Linked DNA regions of Mus musculus. The protein of the gene in region 1 purifies or fractionates together with the protein of each later gene. This does not show direct contact. Links are inferred from orthologs where the notes say so. Each region holds a gene or a part of one and is shown on either strand. Other genes may lie near its edges. The genes, in order: Tmprss6 and Hjv.

Region 1 (6,616 bases):
CACACACACACACACGGCTGGGCAATCATGCCCTGGGGGCCGGCCAGCTGCCTGAGCTCAGTGATGACGTCACAAGCCACAGGGACTTTTAGCAAATGACTCAGCCTCTGGGCCTCAGGCTTCCCACAAGCTGTGAGGCTCGTTCAACTGTGAGTCCCTGGAATTCATACTTGAAACCAAAATTCACACTTGGATTCTCCAATGTCTTAGGCTAGTGGCGTTTGGAGGAAGGGCATTCAGGGAAGTGATTGGGTCAGGAAGGGGCTGTACCTGGTGAATGCATTCATCTAGCAGATAAAGGAAGCACTGGTGGGTGGCCTCAAGCCCCCACCCCTACCCTGCACCATCAGGCAAGCCCCTTCGGCCCTGCCTCATCTCCTGACACCCTCTGTCCCACTATGACTCAGCAGAAAGCCAGAGTCTTATGCTGCTTTCTTAGACTTCCAGCCTTCGCCACCAGGAGCTGCACAAACCTCTATTCTTTATAAACTTCCCTGCCTTGGCAATTTTGTTACAGCCGCAGAAAGCAGGTTAAGGACAGGATCTGAGTCCGCCTCCCTTGCTCGACTGTGGGGAGCACATAATCGCTTTCCACACCTGTGTGGCACCGAGTAAGAGCCATTTAGCGATTGTGGTTGGTACCGTCTCCACCCACCATCTTATTTAGTCTCCAGTGGAAGGCGTCTCGTTCCAGGCCCTTTGCTTTGTTTGTTTCTGTGTAATAGAACACACTCTTGTTTGGGACAGCAGGTCTGTGGAGGGGAAGCAATGACTTCTGGGAGTCAGTCCCCTCCTTCCACCATGTTGGTTCCAGGGACTGAACTCAGGTCCTCAAACTTGCCGGCAAGCCTCTTAACCCACTCAGCCATCTTGCATGTCCATGGCTTCCTTCCTTTCTTTCTTTCTTTCTTTCTTTCTTTCTTTCTTTCTTTCTTTCTTTCTTTCTTTCTTTCTTTCTTTCTTTCTTATTGGGGGCTACCAGGTGGAGCCCAGAAATCATGCTATGTTAGGTGAGCACTTCGTCCTCAGAGTCCATCCCAGTCTCAGCACACTCAGATAAGTTCCAGAGGCTGGGAGAGGTAAGTCTTGCCCAAGAAGGAACCAGGGGAGCCAGGCTTTGAGCCCCAGTCTAACTGCCTGTGACTGACAACCACTGGGAGGAGCCTTACTGTGACCCATCTGAGTTACCCCGGTGAAGCTAGTGTTTCTGTTGTGCAGAAACTGAGCTCTGGGGCCCCACAACACTTGGCACAGGATCAACCTAGACTAATGGGCCTTAGGCACAGGCTGCAAGAGAGTGCTAGGCCCAAGGCTATTCCCTCTCCCTCTGGCCTCTCAGAGATAGTGACAACACTCAGGGAGGGGTCATGGCTGAAAACACAGCACCTTCATTCAGAAAACTCCAGTCATGGGCTCTGGTGCCGAAACCAGAAGCCAGTAAGCAGCTCCCGGAGTGGGCTGGTGGCTGAGGGAGCCACATGAAGAAGGGCACACAAGACAGCGCCCTTCCCCATGCAGACCTTCTGACCCCTAGGCATATCAGGCTTATGTCACACAGTAGCCTGTTGCTACGACAGCACGGACTCACATCACATCTCGGACAGTTTACCTCCTTTTTGTCACTGTCCCCAACATATTGGAAAAATCCAGCTTTGTCACTCCTTGCCACCCTCTATCTAGAATAAGATCAACTAATGGGCAAATGGGGCTTAGCGGTATCCTCAGTTGCTGGCCCAAGAGGACTGTCCATCTTCATCCTTCTGGCTAGCCCCCAACACACACACACACACACACACACGTCACTTCACAGCTCCCTCTGCCCCCTGCAAGCTCCCAAGAGGACGTTCTTAGCTAGACACCTCCTTGCCAGGAGGCCAAGCGAACAGGCAGGACACTGCAGGGAACACAAATACACAGGGTAACCCTGAGAGCTACTGTCCCCATGGAAGTCAACGGCAGCAAAGACAATGGCGTCCTCGGACTGTAGGGGAGTGGAAGAAAGGCCATGTGCTCTCAAGTGCCCTGTGCCCTGTCCCCATCGTTGGTAGAGCCATGTGGTTACAGAAGTCAAGGCAGCTCCACCATTTACCCTGACTGGGACGGACAGGATGGTGAAATGCGTGCTGGAGCCTGCTGGGTATCTGGGGAAAGGCTGGTCAGGACAGGAGGGACAGTCAGGACAGGATGGATAGTCAGGAGAGACTTTGCTGTCTTCAGCCTCCGCTCACCACCCTCTGCTACCCCCCAGGCCCAGCATGGGTAGGAGCATGAGGTCCGAGTGATGGGGAGGGGAAGGCTACCTCCTGTTCTGGATCATCCACTGGCCCTGAGTACACAGTCGGTTGTACTTCTGCCTCCTCAGTGCGTAGGCATCGAACCAGAGCGCCAAGCCGTAGTCCAGAGAGGGTACCTGGGAAAGGAGGGCAGGCAATCGTGTGCGGCATAGCGGGTGTGGGCGAGCTTGGGCATGTGCCTGTTCCGATAAACTAGCCCCACCCTTCCACCTTGTACTTAGCCTGTGAGTACTTGGGCCAGGTGGGATGTCACTCCTCCTGTCCCTGAAGCCCTAAGGATTGCTCTGGGCACAGGGCAGGCTGCAGGAGGAGAGGAACTCACCGTGAGATGCCAGGAGCAGTGGGTACTGGGAGAGTAGTAACTGGGGTAGTAGGGTGTACGGAGGAAGCCCTGTGTGTCCAGCCGGCCCTCCAGTGTCAGGTTCACCTGGCAGTCTGAGTCCAAGAACAGCCATTAGGATGGGCCCCTTCCTGCCCCCCCCCAGTGTCTCACTGCACCCCACTAACAGCAAAGCTCAGGGCCCAACATGGCTATGTAAGTGTGCCTCAGTTTCCACATCCACAAAATGGAGAGAAGAGTACAAAGCTCAGCAGCGAGTAGATGTGATGGACACAGCACGTTCCATCTGCTGAGTGGCAAGCACACTAAACTTAACAGTATGCAAAATATGCTCTCAGGGCAGCTGGAGAGGGAGAGCTGCTGCCTTTGCAAAGAGGGAGGAGCTGAGGGTGTGACTCCACACTAGAGCATTTGCTTAACATGTGTGAAGGCCCCGAGGTCCATCCCAGCAATGCACACATACATATGCACATGTATGTACACACATGCACATAGAGAAACACACATATGTACACACACATGCACATACACACACCATGCCATACACACACCACACACACATACCACCCATACCACACACACCACACAACATGTAAAACACACACACATGTGCACCCCATACACACGACACACACATGTATACATACATAACACATATGCACACACACTAATAAGAGTTCCAGGAGAGGAGGGAGGCTTGGCCAAGTCACTCAGTAAGAGGCTCAGGGGTGGAAGCAGCAGAGCAGTGTGACTTTGGGTTCTCAGGTCACCTGTCCCTGGGGGTCCAGAGCCCCAAACCCTTCCTTGGTTTTTCCTATGAGACTATGGTGCCTGAGAACCCAAGTGAACACCAGTTGTCACATCTGCAGGGCCAGCTGGAGGCCTGTGGGAGAGCCCAGGGATGACCCAGGAGAATAAGAAGAACCATCAGACACCTTCAGAGGAATGGCAGCTAGAAACGGCAAGCGGCTCTAACGAGAAGTCCAGCTATAGCTCAGGCAGGGTCCTCAAGTTAATTCTGCTAACCCAGAGGACAGATTGGGGGCAGGGAGGGGTAGGATGGGAAGTGAGAGGCAGGAAGAATTGACTGAGGCTGGGGATGAGCCAAGACCTCTTGGGGTCTGCCAGGACAGATACCTTTGCTGGAGGCTGCCAGGGCCCTGGGAGGAGAGTGAAGGACAAAGGGAGAGAGAGGTAGGAAGGGAGGGGAGGGACTGCGGCTCACTGAAGGCTTCCAGAGCCACTCTATCGCTGATAGGACAGAGAAGGCATAGGACATGCCACCAGAGACCAGGGTTCCTGTCTGTGCCCCCCTCCATCCTTGGAGACTCTCACCCTGGAAGGCCACAGACTTCACTGAGAGCAGGAAAGGGTCATAGTAGCTATGCATGCCCTTTTTCCACACCACGGCCATGACGGAGCCCGATGCCAGCACCTCCATCACAGGTTCCTGGCGGCTGCACCCATAGACCCTGATGGAGCAGAGAAGTGTACAAGATGGTATGATCCAAGAGACACAGAAATGACACCACCTTGTCCCCTGGCATCAAACAATGGCACAACTCAGCACTGCCAGCCCCATTTCCTGCAGGGTCTTCCAGGTTCAGCACCCCCGTGTCCATCTTGGAGGAGATGGTTGGGGCCCTAGAGGTCCCCAGCTACCCAGTACAGAATGAGGGACACAATGGCTGCATATCTTCAATATTGTCTATATCAGAAAATGGTGCGCAAGAGTATACACCCATTTTACAGATGAGAAAAACTGAGGCTCAAAGGGGCAAGCACTGTGTTTTAAGGGACACAGTTAGGATGCAGCAAGAGTGCTGGTTGAAATACCAGACTGCTGCCAGATTCTAGAATGTTCTAACAAGCCATGTGCCTTCCCAGAGTTGACCTTAGAGATCACCCTACAACTGGTTAGTTACATCCAGATGGGAAAACTGAGGCTCTGAGAAGAAATTGGAGACCACTGCTTGGCACACAACCTTGTAGCCTCCCTTCCCACTGCTCTCCACAGCATCCATATGGGCCTGAGGCTGAGGCTCCAATGCAAAGTGTGGCCTTTGACCCTGGGACTCCCTCAGCCCTTCAGGGAGGGACTCACGAGGTGATAAGTCTCTTCTCCAGGGGCCCAGCTGCGTCGTACATCGCCACCCTGTCTCTGCAATCGACCCGGGTCCACTCCAGCCGCACTTTGATCATGAGGTCTTCGGGCCCTTGCAGATGCCACAGGCAGCTTGTGGTCTGCTGGTCAGGCCCCTTCAATGGGAGGACCTGGCCTGGGTTCACATAGCTGTAGCGATAACAGCCTGGAGGTAGAAAAGGACAGAGCCCTTAGCCAGAAAGAGAGACTGGGAATGGCCACAAAGCCTTCTCCAGCCATGGTAGCAGGCAGGGAGGAGAGGGGCTAGGCCAGGCTTGGGTACCCACCTTTCTTCCCTCTGTAGCTTCCCTGCCCAGCCTCTGACTCACACACTCATTCAATCGTTTAACAAACGCACAGAGCCTTGTGGGCCAGGAAGAGTGCCCGGCAAAGATAGCACAGAAGATGAAGACCTTGGACCGAGCCCAAGGTGTATAGATGGCAAGAAGCAGAGAGGCCTGGGGGGAGCTTTGCAGAGTCTTAACACAGAGCAGGCATTGCAGGAGGACAAGATAGGGAGGGAGAAGGTGGCAGACCAGATCACATCAGGACCAGCACTGCTCTGTCCTGTGGCCACAAGGAGCCAAAGAAGGTGAAGCAGGGCAAGGCTATACAGTCTGGCGTGGGTCCCCCTGGAGTGACACTGTGCAGGCTGTAAGACCAGCAGTGGGCTGCCCCATCCACCCAGTGCCAAACACTCAGGGATGCTGTGAGGCCTGGGTCTTGCACCCACCATCCTGTTCCCTGCCCTTAGCAGTTCTCTGGAATTTCTACCCTGGGAGGCTGGCTTTCCCACCTGTATACTGAGGACAGCGGCCCACACTCATGGGGCTGCCACAGCCTGGGGACAGTCCATGCTGGGACACATAGCATGGAGCCAGAAATGCTGAATAAAAGCCATAAGCATTGAATAAAAGCAATGAGTCTTCTTGTGACTCCCCCTGACCCCCAGCTGAGTTGTCACTCCACAGCTGTCCCCTGGAGCTAAGGCTCAGCCCCAGTCAATAGCTACCCTCATTTCACAACTTGTTTTGTGTCTCACCAGACTCCACACCCCAGGATATCCTTCCATTAAACTCAACTTAATTTAATACATTTAGTCTCCTGATTAAGCATAATAAATTAAGTGCACTTATAAAATTTAATTTACTTAAAGCTCGTTTAATCCACAAGCTTGGATGCCAGAGATAGCAAAGCTGAGAACCCATTAAGCCGGGCCTTCGGCTTCCTGAAGCAGGGAGACCAGGAGCTCTGCCAGCAGGCTCAGGGAACCTGAGACGGGTGGGGTTGGGGGAGGGAAGGCTGTTTGTACCATCCTGGCACCGGCATGCGTCAGCTGTGTGACTCTGGCCAGTAGCTTAGCCACCCTGAGTTCTGGCATACATAAACATAACCCTTGCCCTATCCACTCTGTGTGATGACGAGGGCCAGGTAGGGTCCTGCTCCCTCTCCTGCCCTGGCCAGCCAGACTCTAGTGTGATACATGCCTCCTGGGCACAGAGGCTGCCTAGGAATCTGCCTGGGGAAGGGAGAGACTTGTCTCTGCTACCTGGCTTCTCGGAGATGTCTCTGTTTTGTGAATCTTGCTTTAAGCCCATACCTAATGCGAGCCATTTTGATAATTTTTGTTTTTGAAAAGTAATAAAGCAGAGATGTGTGCCCTCCTGCCTAGTGCTAACGGCAAACAGGACTAAGAGTCCTGCCCCAGCAATGGATAGAGGTTAATACTCATGCCTGCACCAGGCCTTTCCTGAGCTTTGTTCATGGTATGTGGAGCCATGTCTCATTTGGCCAAGGGGCAGTTCCCCACTAGACCCAAGGAACTCCCAGCTCCCCAGA
Region 2 (7,142 bases), on another chromosome or scaffold:
GGGAACAGAACCTGAATCCTCTGTCAGAAATCCAAAAGCCATAGAATCCAGTGAAGAATTACACACTCCTCCACCCACTTCAACCCCAGCGCTTGAGGAGTAGAGACAGTTGGACAGCAATGCAAGGCCAGCCTGGACTACATGAGGCTCCCCCGAAAATAAAAAACAAATGTAATAATACTCATGACTCCTTCCTATGAACCAGTTTTTTTTCTCTCCAACAACCTGTAGACTCCAAGAGGGAGGAGACAATAGCTGGTAACTGCAAGGCCTCTTTCAGTGGGGTGAACACACAGCCTCAACTCCATGCCACATCTGCAAAGGGATTTAAAAGAGGCAACAGAGGACAGGATGGAGAACTAATCGCTTTAATAACAGATTAGGAAGGGATGGAAATGCCCGTTTCTGAGTTGGTGCCAGTCTCCAAAAGCTGACTTCCTCTGCCAGACAATGCCCACTTCGTTTCTGAACCAAAAGCTTTTCCTAATTAGCTTCTCCTCTTTTGACTTTCTCAAAGAGAATCATGTTTTTGCCTTTACGATATCTCAGTCCTTTAATGTTTCACTGGTCATTAGCACTCTCACAATCTCTAGGCTTGTAGGAGTGGTATCAGGTGTATGGAGAGTGGAATTTCATTACAAGTGGGAAATCACTAACTGGGAAATCCATGGTGAATAGCCCACACCAAGGTCTGGAGTGCAAAACCCTGGCCCAGAATCTTTATTCTAGGGTCATTTCAGCCCTGGACTGCAACCTCATCTGATTGAGTAAGTGTTGTCTCCTGTCCCCGCTGTTTCCTTTGGCACATCTTTGTGGTTTCTCACACCAACCTCTATCCTCAAATCGTTTCCAAACCAGTCATGGGTTGCTGGCCTACTTACTGAAGCAAAGCCACAGAACAAAGAGGGCCGAAAGAAGCGGGACTAGGCAGATGGCAGGAGAGAGGGGAGGCCCCGCATCTGAGGGAAAGAGATGTAAGTTCTCTAAATCCGTCAAGAAGATTCGGGCATCGTCCAGAGCTGTCTGAGCTGCCACAGTAAAGTTGGGGTCACCGGAGACTGAAACATCAAAGACGCAGGATTGGAAGTAGGCATCTTCAACCGGAAGCCCTTCCTTACACAGCCTTCTGGCAGTATCTATGGCTATAGCCCCACGGCGGTTGCGCTCTGAGCGAGAGAGTCGCTGGCTCGGAGGGCATCCCCCAACACACAGCTGTAGGTCCTGCTCTGCGGAGAAGGCCCGCGCCACATCCTCTGCTACCCTGATGGAGAAGGAGAGCTGCCCAGCTGTCTGTCGAATGATGATAGTTGTTCCAATGTAGGCAGCTCGAATCTCCACGTGACTCCCAAGGTTAGCAGTTTGAATGGACAAACTCGAGCCCCCAGGTCGGTCGCCCCCATTGATAGAACCATCTTCAAAGGCTGCAGGAAGATTGTCCACCTCAGCCTGGTAGACTTTCTGGTCAATGCATTCCTGCATGTTTTTAAATATGATAGTGATCTATGAGGACAAGAGAGAAAATACTTCATTAGGGCCCAAAGCATCCTCACGCCAATCAAGCTGCATAGAGAGTCAGGGATCCGATCCCAGCAGAAATGCGAGTTTCTTCCGGGTCCTCAGTCCTTGATCCTATCCCCTACTGTGTTCCATTAATAGTGCCTGACCCCCACTCAACCTCCTAATATCTCTCTCCCTATGCCTCTCTCTATCTGCCTCTCTCCCTCTCCCTCCCTCTCTCTCTCTCCTTTTTGTCTCAGTCTCAGCAACTCCCAAGTTACTTGCTTTGAAAGAAATTCCTGAATTACATTTACAAGAGCAAATGTTTGATGGAAGGAAGCCATTCAGGATGGAAGGGAATGTTTGGGAAAGACAAGAACAGGGAGCTGGGTGGCTGAATAGTGGGAAGAAGAAGGAGTGGTATGGCGGACAGACCGTGAGAGGGCTCAAGAAATTGTGTTGGGATGAAAATCGAATCTCTGACCTTCCGGATGGTGGTAGCGTTGGCTCCCGACGAAACCGGGGAGCTGGTGGCCTGGACAAAGAGGAAGTCGTTATCTAGCAAGGGCCAAGCTCCTTGGACACGGCATGTGTGAAATTGGTTGTGGAAACTGCGCACATGGGGATCTCCAAAGGATGCGCAATGCAAGAAGCCCGGGGCTCGACCGTGCAGCCTGGAAAACCGGGCCTCATAGTCACAGGGATCTGGGGTCAGGGGCGCTGGCCCGGCCCCGGGCAGGGCGGGGCCCCGGGCCGGGGGCGGGGCCGTGGGACCCTGGCGTGAGCAGTTGTGCTGGATCATCAGGTCCTCTATGCCATGCACCGCAGAGTGGAAAGCAAGGTCCCCGCGGCAGGTGCGGGCCGTGCGCCGCGTGCAGAGAGCGTAGGAGCGCAGGGCGCGACACAAGCCACCTGAGGCCAGCCCACCACGGCCGCCTCCACGCGGCGTGTCCGGTGAGCCACCTCCCCGAAGACTCAGAGTGGACGAGACATACTCGGCATTGCAGCGGAGGATCTTGCACTGGGAGTGAGCTGGGGACGGAAGGGAGAGGGCAGTGAAATGAGACACAGGTTCTATCCAAGTCCAGTATGCACCTAACTGCCAAAAACCATCCGCCATCCCACCGTTCCTACCACTCAGCGTGGCCGCTTTCCCAATCTCAACCTTCATTCTCCCAATCCTTGCCTCCTTCCCTCCTTTCCTCTACTAAAAACGTGTAAAGCAGTCAGACTTCTTTTCCCTGGGGTCTAAGGACGCCATCTGTGTCCTTCTTCAAGTTAAATGGGAAACAAGACAGGCCTCTTTCAGAGTTGGGAGGTGCTGGGACTCAGCACACATCCCTCCTCACTCTCCCCCCACCCCCCACACCCCCACACCCCCACCCACCCCCACCCCCGCGCGCTCATTCCTACCCAGCATCCTAACCTCTGGATATGTCCAACCCTTCCCTGGCCCTTCCTTACCCTGTCCACAGAGGAGCAGCAGGAGAGTGAGGGTGCTTAGAGTTGGAGGGCTGCCGTGGGGGGACCGGGGACTAGGGGACTGGCCCATACCTATCCAGCCAGGTCCCCCCAGGCACCGGTTCTTCCCAGATGATGAGCCTCCTACCTAGTGAATTTCTCTGGGTACTTCTGTGACTGGAAGAAGAAATTTGGCTGAGTGTGGGGAAAGAGAAGGGTTGGAGACCAGTCAAGATGGTGGGTAGAGAGAGCATCTGAAGAGACCAAAACAAAAATGAGACAGACTGGATCTTGGGAAGAAGGAGGCTTCCAGAGGGTGAGCGTGGCTGGTGAGCCTCTGTGCCCTGCCCCTGCGGCCACCTTCAGGTCCCTTGTGCAATATGCCTACGGGGGCGGGGTGGTGGTGGAGGGAAGGTTGAGTGACCTCAGTGTGCAGAGTCCAGTGTACTGCCCCATCCTGACTACCAAATAGCAGATGTGCCAAAAATGGAGGACCCCTAGAGAAAGTGAGGTTCTGACCATGTCAGTGGGTCCCCAGTAGCACCAGGATCTGATCACGCTTTAAGAACATACTTCTTATGGATCCTTCCCACCAGAAACCACCTGCCGTTTCATTTTCTTCACTGTGTTAGAAGGGCACAAAGGGTAACATGGTAGGCAGACGCCCTGTCTACGATATCACCTTCCCAGTGAAAGGAGAGCCGGTCTCTCAGCCTCTCCAGAGGGCTGACAGTACGATCCCTCTCACAGGATGGGGTACAAATCAAGCATTCAAATTAATATATGTTTCTGTCTAACAGTTCATGTGTTTTTCCAGACCCAGCTGAAAAGCCCAATCCAGACACTCCTGGTCTTTTGAGGAGAACAGATATGGGGGAGGGTCTGTCTCCTTTTCTCCTGTCAAAACCCTACTTTGGGATAAGCATATGAGCAGGAGGTCAGAGAGGTCTTGAGGTAGGGATGGGAGTGTAACTCGATGGTAGCTGAGTGTTTACCATGCTCAAGGCCCTGGGCCCAGTCCTTAGCACTGCCCCCTCCCCCTCTCCCAAGGTCTTGGTGTAATAAGATGGAGAGGAAAATAGGAAAGCCAGAGAGAGGCAGCATTAAACATCAAATGGCCATGGATTAGAAAACATCTAGGCAAGAGGAAAAGTGAAGACTGGGGTAGTTGCTAAGGGGAGATCTTAGTTTTCAGAACAGATGTCTGTAACTTTATGAAGTTCTGGCCTTGACCCAAAAGCTTATCAAAGTGATCGACATTTCATCTGGACTTACTGTTTCCCGAGGTCAAGCATTACTCTGATACTGGGTTCTCGAGCCATAGTTGCCTATTCTGTTGGTCTGCTCCAGCCAGGGGGTCCCCCATCTCTTTCTCCATGATTGCCCCGGAATGGCTGCAGTCTCACTCAGGTCAGAGAGCCAGAGGAGGTTTGGTGTGGGGGGAGGGGGGAGGGAGAGTATATGGTTGGCCCAAGTACTGGACAGCTGAGAGGAGGAGGGAGGTGCCTACTGAGTTGACAGTTTTAAAAATAGCTAGGTCCAAAATTCCAGGAACGTTGGTGGCAGTGGGGTGTGGGAGCTAAGGCAGCAGGAACGATGAGCAAAATAAGGATGGAATATGGAAATATTGGATACCAAGGGAGGGAGAGTATAAAGAAAGATGATGGCCAAGTCATATATCCAACTGTAGCTTATAAGCTGCCACTCAGGCCCTCCAGCATTCCCAGTAATGAACTCAGTATTCCCAGTAATGCCTTTAAGACTGCTGGTGGTGATTTTGTGTGATGCCAGTCACTCACTGCTCTCATCCTCTCTTTACTGAGGATTCCATTGAATTTCTTCTACACATAATACACTGAGGTGGCCGGCTTTGAAGATGGACGGCAAGCATAGTTCAGAGACCCTCCCCCATCTCTGCCAACTATTTCAGAAGCTGAAAGGTCCAGCTGTCCCGAGAAATCCGAGAGCAGAATTGTTTCGAGAAGGGTTTATTCCGTCTGCCCAGATCAGATCTCTGCAGCTGTCTACTCTCTCTCCACCTTTTCCATTACACTAGTTTGTGCAACAATCCCTCCTCCCTCCTCCTCATCAATACAAACACAAAAAACAGAAGCTTCCAGGTTGCAGGGGCCGGGGCCGGGGTAGTAACAGAGGCAGAGAGAAGAATCGGAGTCAGTTTTGAACACTACTGATCCACAGAGGAGTGGCGTTAGATAGGTGAATTCAGAAGGAAGACATTTGGGAATATACTTTTATAGACAAACTGTTTGAAGATTCAATTATAATCAGGGTTTTAGCTATGTCCGTCTTTTCACCTGGTGGCATTTCTGGGACACTGTCCCACAGTACTTGCCAAGGGAAAGCAGCACAGGACTGATTACAAAGTGTGTCACAAAAGCTTCTGGCCCTGTCAGCTCTACATGAAGTTCTACAGGTCCACATGGTACATGGTCCCTTCTCAGGCACGCATACACACACACACACACACACACACACACACTTTACAAGAGAAGTGTGGGAGCACATGTATTTTTTATAATGAATTTAGCTTTTTCTCAACTATACAAGACCATATCACAATAATCTTTTACATTAAGTTATTTAGAACATGTCTGTCTCTGTGTGTCTGTGTGTACCTATGTGGATGTCAGAAACGTTATAGGAGTCAATTCTTTCCTCCCACCATGTGGGCGTTAGGGGCCAAATGTGAGGTTTGGTAGCTAGTTCCTCTACCTACCTGCTGAGCCATTTCACCAGCCCACATCCCAAGAACTTTTATTCCATAAAATTTCCCTGCACTGGATGGTTGGGTGTGTCAACTTGACACAGGCTGGAGTTATCACAGAGAAAGGAGCCTCCCTTGAGGAAGTGCCTCCATGAGATCCAGCTGTAAGCATTTTCTCAATTAGTGATCAAGTGGGGCGAGCCCTGCCCATTGTGGGTGGGACCATCTCTGGGCTGGTAGTCTTAGTTCTATAAGAGAGCAAGCTGGGCAAGCCAGGGGAAGCAAGCCAGTAAGTAACATCCCTCCATGGCCTCTGCATCAGCTCCTGCTTCCTGACCTGCTTGAGTTCCAGTCCTGACTTCCTTTGGTGATGAACAGCAATGTGGAAGTGTAAGCTGAATAAACCCTTTCCTCCCCAATTTGCTTCTTGGTCATGATGTTTTGTGTAGGAATACACACCCTGACTAAGACATCCCCCAACTAAATTAATCAAGTGACTTTAAGACATACTAGGTTGTCTATAAAATGCAAAGTGGCATATACTCTGAAACCCAAAATACGTGCAAAAAAAAAACAGTTTCTTGAGGCTGGAAGGATGGTTTAGTGGTTGAAGCACTTGCTGCTCCTACAGGGAATTCAGGTTCCACTTCTATCACCCACATGATAGCTCATTACTAACTGTAATTCCAGTTTAGGAGCTCCAATACCCTCAGTTGACCTCTAATGGCTTCTGCACACAGTTAGTGCACAGACATACATACATTCAGGCCACATACACATACATGTGGTGCACATACACACATACACTCAGGCATACACATATGCACATAAAATTTAAAAAATAAAAATATTTTTAAGGAATCAGTTGTTTTGAAACAGAGTGTTGTTATATGTGTGGTCCCAGCTGGCTTAGAACCTTTTATGTTGGCCAGATGATTTAGATAATTACCCTGAAGGTGCTGGGTTATAGGCAGGGGCCACTGTGCCCAACTAGTACCAAAGTATTTTACAGTCCTCACTATCATTGACAGTGGCGTTGGTATTATTCTGGAACTATTTTGAGTTTGCTGTGGGCTTAAAAAGAAATTAAGGAAGGCTGGAGAGATGGAGCCACAGTTGAGAGCACCTGCTGGTTTTACAAGGGACCTGAGTTTGGTTCCCCGAATCCACGTCAGGGGCTCCAGGAGAGTCAATGCTCTCTTCTGGTCCCCTTGGGAACTACTCAACCCACACACAGACACACATTCAAAAATAAAACCTTATTTTTAAGTAATAATGGTGGGGTTTTGGTTTGGTTTTGTTTGAAACAGAGTTTCACCATATAGCCTAGGCTGGCCTGAAACTTGCGATCCTCCTGTCTCAACTTCCTGGGTGCTATAATTACAGGTGGCCAATTCTTGGACTTTAGAGAGCCATGATATTTGATGTGGGATAGAAATACTGATTCATGTTGATAAGT

Evidence for each region.
Region 2: the proteins of Tmprss6 (region 1) and Hjv purify together in Homo sapiens (co-immunoprecipitation; 3 studies listed by IntAct). This does not show direct contact. The link is inferred for Mus musculus from reciprocal best matches to the Homo sapiens genes TMPRSS6 and HJV.

The regions. Positions count from the first base shown.
Region 1 is NC_000081.6:78,450,176-78,456,791, forward strand, and holds part of Tmprss6 (transmembrane protease serine 6), read right to left. Parts: intron 4,944-6,616; coding exon 4,739-4,943; intron 4,107-4,738; coding exon 3,970-4,106; intron 2,730-3,969; coding exon 2,617-2,729; intron 2,411-2,616; coding exon 2,301-2,410; intron 1-2,300. UniProt on the Homo sapiens protein: Membrane-bound serine protease. Through the cleavage of cell surface hemojuvelin (HJV), a regulator of the expression of the iron absorption-regulating hormone hepicidin/HAMP, plays a role in iron homeostasis.
Region 2 is NC_000069.6:96,522,422-96,529,563, reverse strand, and holds Hjv (hemojuvelin precursor), read right to left. Parts: upstream 4,380-7,142; 5' UTR 4,234-4,379; intron 3,154-4,233; exon of another isoform or gene 3,136-3,153; 5' UTR 3,050-3,135; coding exon 2,962-3,049; intron 2,530-2,961; coding exon 1,982-2,529; intron 1,501-1,981; coding exon 874-1,500; 3' UTR 348-873; downstream 1-347. UniProt on the Homo sapiens protein: Acts as a bone morphogenetic protein (BMP) coreceptor. Through enhancement of BMP signaling regulates hepcidin (HAMP) expression and regulates iron homeostasis.